Canis lupus familiaris: one gene and its partners. The protein of the gene in region 3 binds, or shares a complex with, the protein of the main gene of each other region. Links are inferred from orthologs where the notes say so. Each region holds a gene or a part of one and is shown on either strand. Other genes may lie near its edges. The genes, in order: CRIPT, SNRPD2 and SNRNP40.

The links.
Region 1: SNRNP40 (region 3) and CRIPT share a complex: the UniProt entries of both Homo sapiens proteins name them as parts of the minor spliceosome. The link is inferred for Canis lupus familiaris from reciprocal best matches to the Homo sapiens genes SNRNP40 and CRIPT.
Region 2: SNRNP40 (region 3) and SNRPD2 share a complex: the UniProt entries of both Homo sapiens proteins name them as parts of the U4/U6-U5 tri-snRNP complex. The link is inferred for Canis lupus familiaris from reciprocal best matches to the Homo sapiens genes SNRNP40 and SNRPD2.

What each region holds. Positions count from the first base shown.
Region 1 is NC_049231.1:49,895,428-49,899,080, reverse strand, and holds part of CRIPT (cysteine-rich PDZ-binding protein), read right to left. Parts: intron 1,906-3,653; coding exon 1,840-1,905; intron 939-1,839; coding exon 884-938; intron 1-883. UniProt on the Homo sapiens protein: As a component of the minor spliceosome, involved in the splicing of U12-type introns in pre-mRNAs. Involved in the cytoskeletal anchoring of DLG4 in excitatory synapses.
Region 2 is NC_049222.1:110,606,436-110,609,547, reverse strand, and holds the end of SNRPD2 (small nuclear ribonucleoprotein Sm D2), read right to left. Parts: intron 780-3,112; coding exon 605-779; 3' UTR 514-604; downstream 1-513. UniProt on the Homo sapiens protein: Plays a role in pre-mRNA splicing as a core component of the spliceosomal U1, U2, U4 and U5 small nuclear ribonucleoproteins (snRNPs), the building blocks of the spliceosome.
Region 3 is NC_049223.1:69,116,354-69,120,106, reverse strand, and holds the start of SNRNP40 (U5 small nuclear ribonucleoprotein 40 kDa protein), read right to left. Parts: upstream 2,527-3,753; 5' UTR 2,472-2,526; coding exon 2,328-2,471; intron 2,152-2,327; exon of another isoform or gene 2,013-2,151; intron 109-2,012; coding exon 1-108. UniProt on the Homo sapiens protein: Required for pre-mRNA splicing as component of the activated spliceosome. Component of the U5 small nuclear ribonucleoprotein (snRNP) complex and the U4/U6-U5 tri-snRNP complex, building blocks of the spliceosome.

The DNA of each region.
Region 1 (3,653 bases), on a different chromosome or scaffold from region 3:
TGCAAAAATGCAAGTCATTACAAAGGTTAAATAAAATGAGAATAGAGAAGTCCATTAGGTGTGATCCTGCCAAGCACAGCGGCATGGGTTGGTGGGGCTGAAGCCCTGACTGGAGTGGCTGAAGTCAAGAATAGAACTTTACAGTCACTGAGAAAGCATCTGGATAAGGCTTCTGAAAACTTCTGCTGTGAAGGGAAGCAAGGAAATGGGGTGGCACTGGAAGGGTTCATGGATTTTTTTAAGACTGGAAATAATAAAGCATAGAGTTCAAAAGTGGTTTTTAGGGTGGGAGACACTTTTATCTCCATTCTTAGATGAAAAAGTAAAGTTCAAAAAAGTCAAGAAACTGGCTTCACTTCCTTCCTTAAGGTCCCAGAGCTAGACAGGGACGGTCTAAACTCAAATTTAAGGCTGACTTCAGAGCTTCTGATCTGACCACATCTATTGCCTCCGATTTGTATGTTATTTAAGAACTAGATAAAATAACCTAAAATAAAACCAAACCAAGCAATATTATTCTAAAATTAGTCCTATAAAACATACCACACTGAAGCACCTGAATGAAACTACAAAGTGATTTTAGGGATAAGGCAAGAAACCAGTTTGCAAAAGAAAAAAAAAGGAACAAGATAAAAGTCATGTTTTCTGCTGAAATTATATATATGAAAAAATATAGCTCTAATATCTTCATATGTTGATATACTGAGGAGAAGCAGGGTGAAGCCAGCAGGTTATAACAGATAGCTTGGCTTTGCATGCTAGGAACTATTGACCAGTTTTATCACAACAAAATGATGCATACCCAATTCATTCTGGTATGCTTAAGACCAAAAAGAGTGGAAAGTCAGATGCCTGTGGGTAGAGTGGCTGCTTCTATACTTACCTTGCTTTTTTTGAAGTCAAAGCTTTATTTTCATTCAACTTTCTTCCACCACTTTCTAAATCAAGGTATACATGTATTTTAGTAGGTTATTTCTGCACATTTCACTATAACATATACATTTAACATTTAACAATTAGTTAAAGAGTTCATTCTTTGACCTCCTACCACTTGAATAGCCTATATAAAAATTTTCAAAAATCCTTAGTTAATAGCCAGGTTTTTAAGACATTACTTCAAAAGGAAACATTTATTATGAAACAGTAAAACTGTGGATAATCATTTTATTTTTCAGACTCAAGAGGACTTTAGGGATGGGTCTACATTTAATTTATCTAGTGTAAAATCTTGAAGTCACTACTGTGGTGCCAAGACCCTGAATACAGTACAAGCGTTTCTTTTTCTTCCCTTTAGAAATATCTCAACTATGTATAATGATATGATGGTGAAAATGTAAATGTGTGAATGATTTGTTCATGAATTTTTATAAAAGTCAGGTGAAGAGGGAGGAATACACACTTTAATAAAGTGGAATCAAATCAGTTACTATGATCTACTCATTGGTTGAAAATCATTTCATGATTTTGCTATCTCTTGCCTAACAAATAAAAAAAGATTAAATTGTTAGGGGATCTGGAATTCTTTAATATTTAGGAGATGAGGGGCACCTGGATGGCTCAGTTGGTTAAGCAGCTGCCTTTAGCTCAGGTCATGATATCAAGGGTCTGGGATTGAGCTCCCTGCTCAGTGGAGAGTCTGCTTCTTCCTCTCCCTCTGCCCCTCCCCCCATATCTTGCTTGCATACACATTCTCTCTAATAAATAAAATCTTAAAAAAAAAAAAAGAGAGATGGAATACTTTGCACATAAAAGAGTTCTTTTTACAAATAATGTAAAAGCTAAAACATTAGTCACAGGAAGTACCGGATTCAACTTCCTCTTTCCCAAATGGAAAAATACCTGTGGTATTCCTTGCACCGTCTTTCCATGTGTCTGGAGTGATAACAGTACCAAGTTTCTTTTCACCTGTTATAACAAGATAGTAAAAGTAAGGGGAATTTGGATTTACTATTTAATAAATACACTACATTGTGCCTAAAGTTCAGTGTATCAACCACCGTCTTGCAGTAGGAGCCTTTTCATGCTGGGGTACGGGCTGTGAACTGAGACTGAAGATACTAACTGTGGGCAATGGGTACCTGACCCAGTAAAATCTGTACAGTACGGTGGCTAATGGCAGGCTTTCCTTGTATATGTATGCTTTAAATAAATCTGAAAAATCTAAACAAATCTGGTACACATATTTATTCCATAAATATTTACTACGCACTTATGATATATAAACCACTATAGAGAGTTCAGAGAAAAATAAAATGATAAATAAGATAAAGCTCTAGGTTTCAAGGAATATACAACATACTATTTTCTCTAATAGAAGTCCTTAGTCTGGGTTCCATGGCTAGACCTCAGAAGACAAGTGGACAGGATGAAGCTGTATACCAAACTACTGTATATTCATTTTTCTTCTTGTAAGAGTCCATAGCTTTCAGGGCACCTGGGTAGCTCAGTCAGTTAAGTGTCTAAGTGTCTGCCTTCAGTTCTGGTCATGATCTCAGGGTCCTAGGATCGAACCCCACATGGGGCTCCCTGCTCAGCGTGGAGTCTGCTCCTCCCTCTCCCTCTGCCCCTCCCCCTGCTTGTGCTCCCTCAAGTGCACAAATAAATTAAAAAAAAAAAAAAAGAGTCCATAGCTTTCATCAGATTTTTAGAGAGGTCAGAGACCTCTGAAAAAGAACCATTCAAACCAAAATATAACCTAGAAAATAAAAAGCATAGTAATGGATGGCTAAAGTACTAGGAGAAATACCATAGGGGAAGAAATAACCTGAGCTAGGGAAATCCAGGAAAGCCTTTGGAGGAGACAGGAAGAGGGTCTGGATGTGGCAATGGGATTGTGAAGACAGAGGAGAGAGGATAAAGGCAAACTAGAGAAAGGCTGTATCTTGAATGAAGGCACAGAAAGCTAAGGGTACATGTGGTCTTGCAAAGTAGCTTGGTTTGGCCAGAGTGAAGGTAAGAGTACATGAAAACAAAGTTGGAAAGATAAGCTGAGCCTTCATTGTGGAGGGTCATCCTGAATCCGGGCTCCAAATATAAAACCCCAAATTATTCTCTGCACATTGAGTATTTATTAAAGGCTTTAAATTCAGGAAATGATAGAGTGCACTTATATTTAGGTTCAATTCAAATGTCTGTTGTGATTACTCTAAACCATGCCCTGGCATAATGATGAAGGGATGGTAAGACACAGTCTCTACCCTTTGGTCCTACTGTTTAGCATTTGGTCAGAATGTAATACTTGTTGCATGAATGAAAAGAAAAGGTGACAAAAATGCAAGAATGAAAGATGGAGTCAAGGTTTAATTGAGCATTTTTATATGGAAGGGGAGCTGATTAAAGATTCCAAAGGATATAGTGACAAATAAAGAGGTACGGAAGGATGGCAACAAGGACACGAGTAGAATTTTTCTTGGAAAAAGGGAAAGAGGTAAATGAGTATGGATGTGGATCTGTTTACAGGTATCGTAAAAGAAGTTGATAATGTTCCCATTTAATTACCTTGCTTGTCTTATACCTATAAGGAGGTATTTGTCAACAGAGGATGAGGTAGATGAAGGTGGGGGAAATTTAAGGGATTAGAGAGTTTGGAATAGTCACTAGTGACAAAGGGCAAGAGGGCTGACTAAAGAGAAGTAAAAAAGACCAATGAATAG
Region 2 (3,112 bases), on a different chromosome or scaffold from region 3:
GGCTGGATCCCCTCGGGGGAATGCTCTCTCCTTTCTGTACCTCAGTTCCCTCCTCTGGCAATGGAGGTCATAATGAACAGTGTCTGCTCAGCACAGAGGAAAGGGCCTGGCACCCTAACAGCTGGCAGGTGTTAGTGGCAATCACTACCACTGTTTGGGTACTGACTACTCTAACTATATCCTCCTTCTCCTCTCAGTGAGGGCTGGTCAGGGCTCTCCTGGGTACTGCTGTGTCCCCAGCACTGCAGCCAGACCTCAACTTATTGAGAGAGAGGCAGAGGAAGGGAAGAGAGACGCAGCGATGAGAAGCTAGAAAAGATTAAGAAGGGAAAGAGAGCCCTCTGTATCCAACCCATTCACTTCACAGATGGGGAAAAAGAGGCCTGAGGAGGGGCAGAGACAGGGCCTCTTCACGGGATCAGAGAAGTCTGCACCCTAGCACCTGGCGCCACACCCAGCTGCCTCCCTTCCCCAAGCCTGTCCCTGTCACAAGGCTCTGGGAACAGACAGATGCCACTAGACAAAACCCAGGACTTTATTATTCCCATTACAAAGGGCAGGTCTTCGCAGGAGGGAGCAAATTCTGACGGCGGGGAGGAGGCCGCTACTTGCCAGCGATGAGTGGGTTCCGCAGGACCACGATGACGGAGTCCCCACGCAGGAACATCTTGGAGATGTAGCGGTCCTTGTTGACTGGCTTGGACTTCTTCTTGCCCTTGCCGCTCTTGGGGACCTCGGTCCACATCTCCTTCACATTCTCCAGCACCATGTTGCAGTGCCTGGGGGTAGAGGGCAGGCACCAGGAGTGAGGGAGAAGCCTTCTGCCCACCCCTCTTCCAGCAGCTCACATGGGATGAAGGTGAGGGCCTGGGACAAGGACAGCCAGGGACCCCCCACACCACCTCTGCCAGTCTTCAGGTTGAGGCTTGGCCAAAGGACTTCACTCCTCTGTGCCTCAATGTCCTGCTTTCTGACATGGAGTCATTCACAGTGCCTCCCTCATAGGGCTGCTGTGAAGATAAATTAACCAATACAGCATTCTTGCAAAGACTTAGAAGGGGGCCTGACCCAGGGGAAAGGTAAGCAAAATGGGTCTGCTTGTGTTTCTCAACTCTAAGTACTTCTGAAAGCATCAGCAAAGGAACTGCTGCTATTTGTGGAGCCAGAGGTCCCTGGGGCCTATGGAGGAATGTGATGCCTCCGCCGCAGTTGTGCTTGGTCCCTATCTCCTCAGGGTGCCAGGTGGACACGTTTGAGGACAGTACAGATTAGCCCACTCAGCAAGCACCTGCAATGAATACAGCAGTGAAGCTGACAGATGCAACCCCTGCCCTGATGGGATGTGAGGAGAGAAGAATGCTAAGCAAGTAAACAGATGGATCTGATACACTGTCAGGTTACAACCCCTGCTATGAAGAAAAATTAAAGCCAGGTGAAGGGATAGAAAGATAGAAGGAAATGTTACTGAGTGGCAAGAAAAATAAAGTATTTAAGAGTGGGGAAGCTCTGTGCCTTGCTGTGGAGTAATATCCACGAGAGACTGTTGAGTGACAAAACCAAGTATGCAAGTGATCTTTTGAAGGGAAGAAAGGGGGTAGGAGAAGCATCTATACTGCCTGCCTCCTTTTGCTTTGTACAGTACAGAATCCTGGAAGACACTTGGAGGCCGGGGACAAGCTGCATGGAATGTTATCATTGGACTGCTATTACTGTTTTTGGAATCCTGTGAATACATTAGCAATTCAGAGAAAAATAAGCTTAAAAAAAAAATGAAGTAGCATACCCACATGGAAACATTTCAAGGCATGTTGTCAAGTGAAAAAGCTGAGGTCTAAAACTGTGTGGTTTGCTATTAGCAGTGATTTAAAATAAAGTAAAGCACACTCTTGTGTCTGTTGGTCTGATGTCATGTGAGGGGACCTGAGGAATTTACCGTGGAAGGATTCCTGGGGAGGGCAACTGACTGACAGGGAGAAAAAAGACTTGTTCCTCATTGAGCACGTTCGTTTCTTTTGAATTTTGCCTCAACTGCATGCACTGCTCACTCAAGAAAGGAACATAATTAATACAATAAGTAACAGGGTTAAGAATGCCTTAGCTGACCTGCAGGGATGTTCACAGATCACTGAAAAGTACGAAAAACAAGATGCAGAGTAGCACATGGAAGATTCTATCTTAAAAACAATTACATTTATGATATGACAACATGTCAATTCCACCTCCATAAAGCTGTTAGCTGGGGACCCGGGTGGCTCAGTAGTTGAGCATCTGCCTTTGGCTTGGGTCGTTATCCTGGGGTGCTGGGATCAAGTCCTGCATGGGGCTCCCCATGAGGAGTGTGGTTCTCCTTCTACCTATGTCTCTATTTCTCTGTCTCTCATGAATAAACAAAATCTTTAAAAAAATAAAAAATAAAGCTGTTATTTAACACCACAAAGAAGCCCGTGTGTGTGTGTGTGTGTGTGTGTGCTGAGCGTGAGTGAGTGAACTGTGGCAGGATACACACTAGGGTGGGAAGCTGATGTGGGGATATGAGGAAGAACTGGGGGAAAGTCCTCTTAAAAAAATGGGGGGGGGGGCACCTGGGTGGTACAGTTGGTTGAATGTCTGACTCTTGGTTTTGGCTTGGGTCATGATCTCAGGTCATGAGAGTGAGCCCCACATCAGGCTCCTTGTTCAGCATAGTCTGCTTGGAACTCTTCCTCTCTGCCCCTTCCCCCCAAAATAAATGAAGTAAATCTTTAAAAAGATGTGGACACACAAATGTATATGAATAAACCACCACCGATTGTGCTCTTACTAAGCACCCAGGTGCCCTCTTCGAAGCAGTAAGCCAGTAATTCTCACTACATCTCACCCCCAGAAGGTAAACACTAGTATCACCCCCAGCTTGCAGAGCAGGACACTGGCGCAGTGGGATGATGTTTTAGAAGTGGCACAGCCCTGTTCAAATCTAGGTCTATCTGCCTTTTTGGGCCCAATACTTCCTGTTCTCACTCTTATTCTCCTTGAGAAGAAACCGAGGCTCCAAGTGAAAAGACTTATTCATGGTCATGTAACAGCTCGTGGCAAAAACATTCTAGACTTACACTTCGCCATACCACTTCCCAAA
Region 3 (3,753 bases):
AGATGCTAAGGTGGATCCATTGGGATGAAACTTGCAGCAGTACACTTCCCCTTCATGTCCTGAGAGAAGCATGATTGGCGCTTGAAGGGAGGAACACCTTGGAGGTCCCTAAACAAAAGACAGAAGTACAGGGTAGTTACTACATACAGGCAAAGGAGACTACAAAAGACACGGTAAACAATCATTGAGTAGATTTCTCCTGATTTAGAGAATGGTAACTCTTCTCACATTAACTTAGGCCTCCAATTTGATACCCTCCTACTCAAGTGTCCAGTGTCTACCAGTTATACTGACTACTCCCTCAGGCTCCTTCTGTCCCATAGCCAACTTTAAATTGCTCAAATATGCTAAGCTCATTTCTGTCTCAGGATCTTTACACTTCTTGCTCCTGATCGGAATCCTCTTCCCTTGATCGTCCTGTGTTTAGCTCTTTCCAAATGTTTCCTCTTCAGAAAGTCTTTCATTGATCACTCAAACTCAAAGCAGCATCACACCTCCCCTCTGTATTCCATTAATCCTACTGTATTTCCTCACAGCACTTAAGACTACCTGAAATCACCTTCCTTTGTATTGGTTTACACATTTTGTCCTCTTCCCCGGTAGAAAAGCAGCTTTGTGACTGCAGGGACCCTGCATTCAACACTTTTCCCAGTCTCTAGCACATTTAATTAATGCCTGAACTGAGCTTCCCAACAACCCTGCAAGGTACATATTACCCAGGAAAGTAGTTTTGACTATGGTCTTGACACTAAACCTAGGCTTGGACAATTCACTGGAACCTGGGCTGACATTCCGGTCAGAGAGAAGACCTGGTACACTATTGATAATCCCCAAACATCCTTAATAGCTTTCAGTTTACTCATTTATTTAAAAAAAAAAAAAAATTAACGTGCCAGGCACTGTTTTAGGCGTTGGGAAAACAGTACTGAACAAAATAAACAATGGAGTTTGTGTTCCCGTGGAAAGGAGGAAGAGAAGAGACGAAGAGAGAAAACAAAACATATAGCAGGTTGGTATGTGCTACGGAAGAAAAAAAGCGATGTGGATTAATACATATGGGGTATTGCAATTTAAAACAGGGTAGTCAGGAAGGCCCTTACTGAAAAAGTGATATCTGAACAAAGATTTGGAGGATCTGAGTGTGTAAACCACGTGGATATTTTGAAGAGCATTCCAGTTGAGTGCAGCAAATGCAAAGGCTTTGAGGCAAGAGCATGGAAGCCAGTGTGACTGGAGCAGGGGGAGTAATGGAAAATTGGTAGATCTGAGAGGTAAAGGGAAAATGGGCAAAAGATTTTAAGGATTGTAAGGATTTAACCCTGGGTGAAATGGAAAGCCATCAAAAGTTTTCAGCAGAGGGTAACACGAGCTGACCTTTAGCAGGATTCTCTAGCCACTGGACTGAGAATAGATGGACCATAAAAGAATAGAAACAGGAAATACCAGTTAGGACCTCACTACAATAATGCCAGATGAGAAAAATAACGGCTTAGACCAGGGGCGAGTGATGGAGGTGGCACAAGGATTAGCAATTTGGCATCTATTTTGAGGACGGTGTGCCAGCAGGATTTGCTCACCGGCTGGTGGAGAGGTTGAGAGTGGAGACGTTTACTTCTTGATCGGAGCCTACCAGCCCAGCAGAGGGGTGATCGTTATTACCTCCATCTTACAAGAAATGCAGTTAAGAGCATGGATTCGGCTTTAAAACCGTTTCCTATCACTTACCGGGTTAAGAGCTTACAAAACAGGGCACTGAGAGTTCCTAACTCTTAAGCTGTTACCAAGATTAATGGGGTTTTCATACACAAAGCCCTTAGGACAGGTATTAAATGAAGGTCAGCTCTCGTTCCGTTGTTGTTAGTAACAGTACTAGTGCTGAGACATGGGGGGGGGGGGGGGGGGGGCGGGCATCTTGACCAAAGCAAGCCGGGCTCATTCGTTTCCTTTCTCTCCTCATTCATTCATTCATTCATTCATTCATTTTTTTCAGCCGTTCTACAAAGTTTTCTGAATGTTTACTCCACGCTGGGTCCCTGTGGAAGATTTAATACGAAAAAGCCCCGGTGCGGGTTTTGACTTCAAGGTCCTTAACGCTAAATGTAACGCCACCTCCCAGGGTGGTCGAGACGCTGAAAGCGGGCGTCCAACCAGGTAACGAGCGGAGCGTCCCGGGGGGGCAGGGGGGGTGTCGACCGCTTTTACAGTGTTTCCTGTGTGAACTGCAGGCAGCTATTCCCGTTCCTACCCCGCACTGCGGGATCACCGGGGGCGGGCTCCCTGAGGGGAAGATGAGCTGAGGCCCGAGGGCCGCCCGCGACTCCACTTACCGCTTGTAGCAAAGCTCCCGGCGCCGTCTGCTGCTGCCCAGCTCCGGGGCCCGACCCCGCCGCTCCCAACAGCAGCTCATGCCGCTGCCGCTTGACTGGGACCAGTGGCAACTCCGGGCCTTTGCGCTTTTGCTGTTCTATCATGGCGGCAACCGCTCTCCTCAGCGCCGCCACTGACCGCGCCGACACCCTCAGGCAGCGCGCGATTGGTTCCGACTTAGTTCTTCCCCCAGAACTTCCGGCTTGGAGTAACCAATCGGTCTGCAGCAATCCCCTCTGCACCGCCTCCCTGAATACTCTTCTTTTATTGGTCAGTTCTTTCTGGCGTCACGGGAGTGCGGTGCTGGGATTGGTGGGTGGAGCTGGAGTCCCACCTAGGCGCGCTGGGTCTTGTGGGTGGAAGCGTTGTCTGGTTTTGGCGTTTCGCGCAATGCTGCGGCCGGGAGACCGGGAGCTGACCCAGAGTAAGTGGAAGGAAGGTCGAGGGTGGGTGGCTGCGGCATCTAGAGACGGCGCCTCGGTTGTGTGACGTGAGCCTGGCTCTTCTCAGCTGAAGGTTTGCAGGGGCCTGAGGCGGGCCCCGGGGTCCCAGCGTCGGCGCGTAGCAGCCTGGGTTCCCCTTCTAGGCTGGAGCAGGGCTTTGGGGTCTCTGCGGCCGCCCGGGGCCCTCGTCCGCCGACTCGTTCGTCCAGCGCCTGCCGTGTCCAGCCCTGTGCCTGTGCCGAACGCCCCCAGGGAGGAAGGGCCTGTCTCCCAGCTCCACCAGGCTCCTCTCTCTGACTGAGGAGGCCGGCTTGTTTCTGCCACTGGTCATGCAGCCTTTTACGAGGGCCTGCTCAGTGCCTCTGGGAGAGACAGGGATGAGAGGAGTATCCGACTGCTGCTTCTCCAGAGCACAGTCCTGTGGAGAAATTCGGAATCATATCTGGGAACTAGGTCTCCTTAATTGTCCAACTGGTGTTTATTGGAAAGAGCCCTGAGAGGATACATTGTGAACCAAAGATGGTCCCACGTCGGGCCCCCTCCATGGAGCCTGCTTCTTCCTCTGCTTGTGTCTCTGCACCCCCCCCCCCGTCTCTCATGAATAAATAAATTAAAAACAAACAAACAATTCAAATATTTGAATATTGAGGGCAAGCATGTTAAACAGTGATCTCACTAAGAGCTTTAAAATACGTGCTGCCTAGGAGAGGTGCCTGATGTTATGAGTGTCTGCAATAAGCAGAAAAGCCTCTGTGAGGAAAAGATGCCCGAACTGATACCTGAAGGAAGAATTGTAATTATTTGGGTCAAGGGAGAAAGGCAGAGCGTTCCATATAGAACAACATGTGCAGGGGCCCTGCGGCAAATGGGAGGAAAATGACTGAACGGCAGAAAGAGGCCACTATGGCTACTTCAGAGGGAATGAAGGAGGGTCTGGTACAGG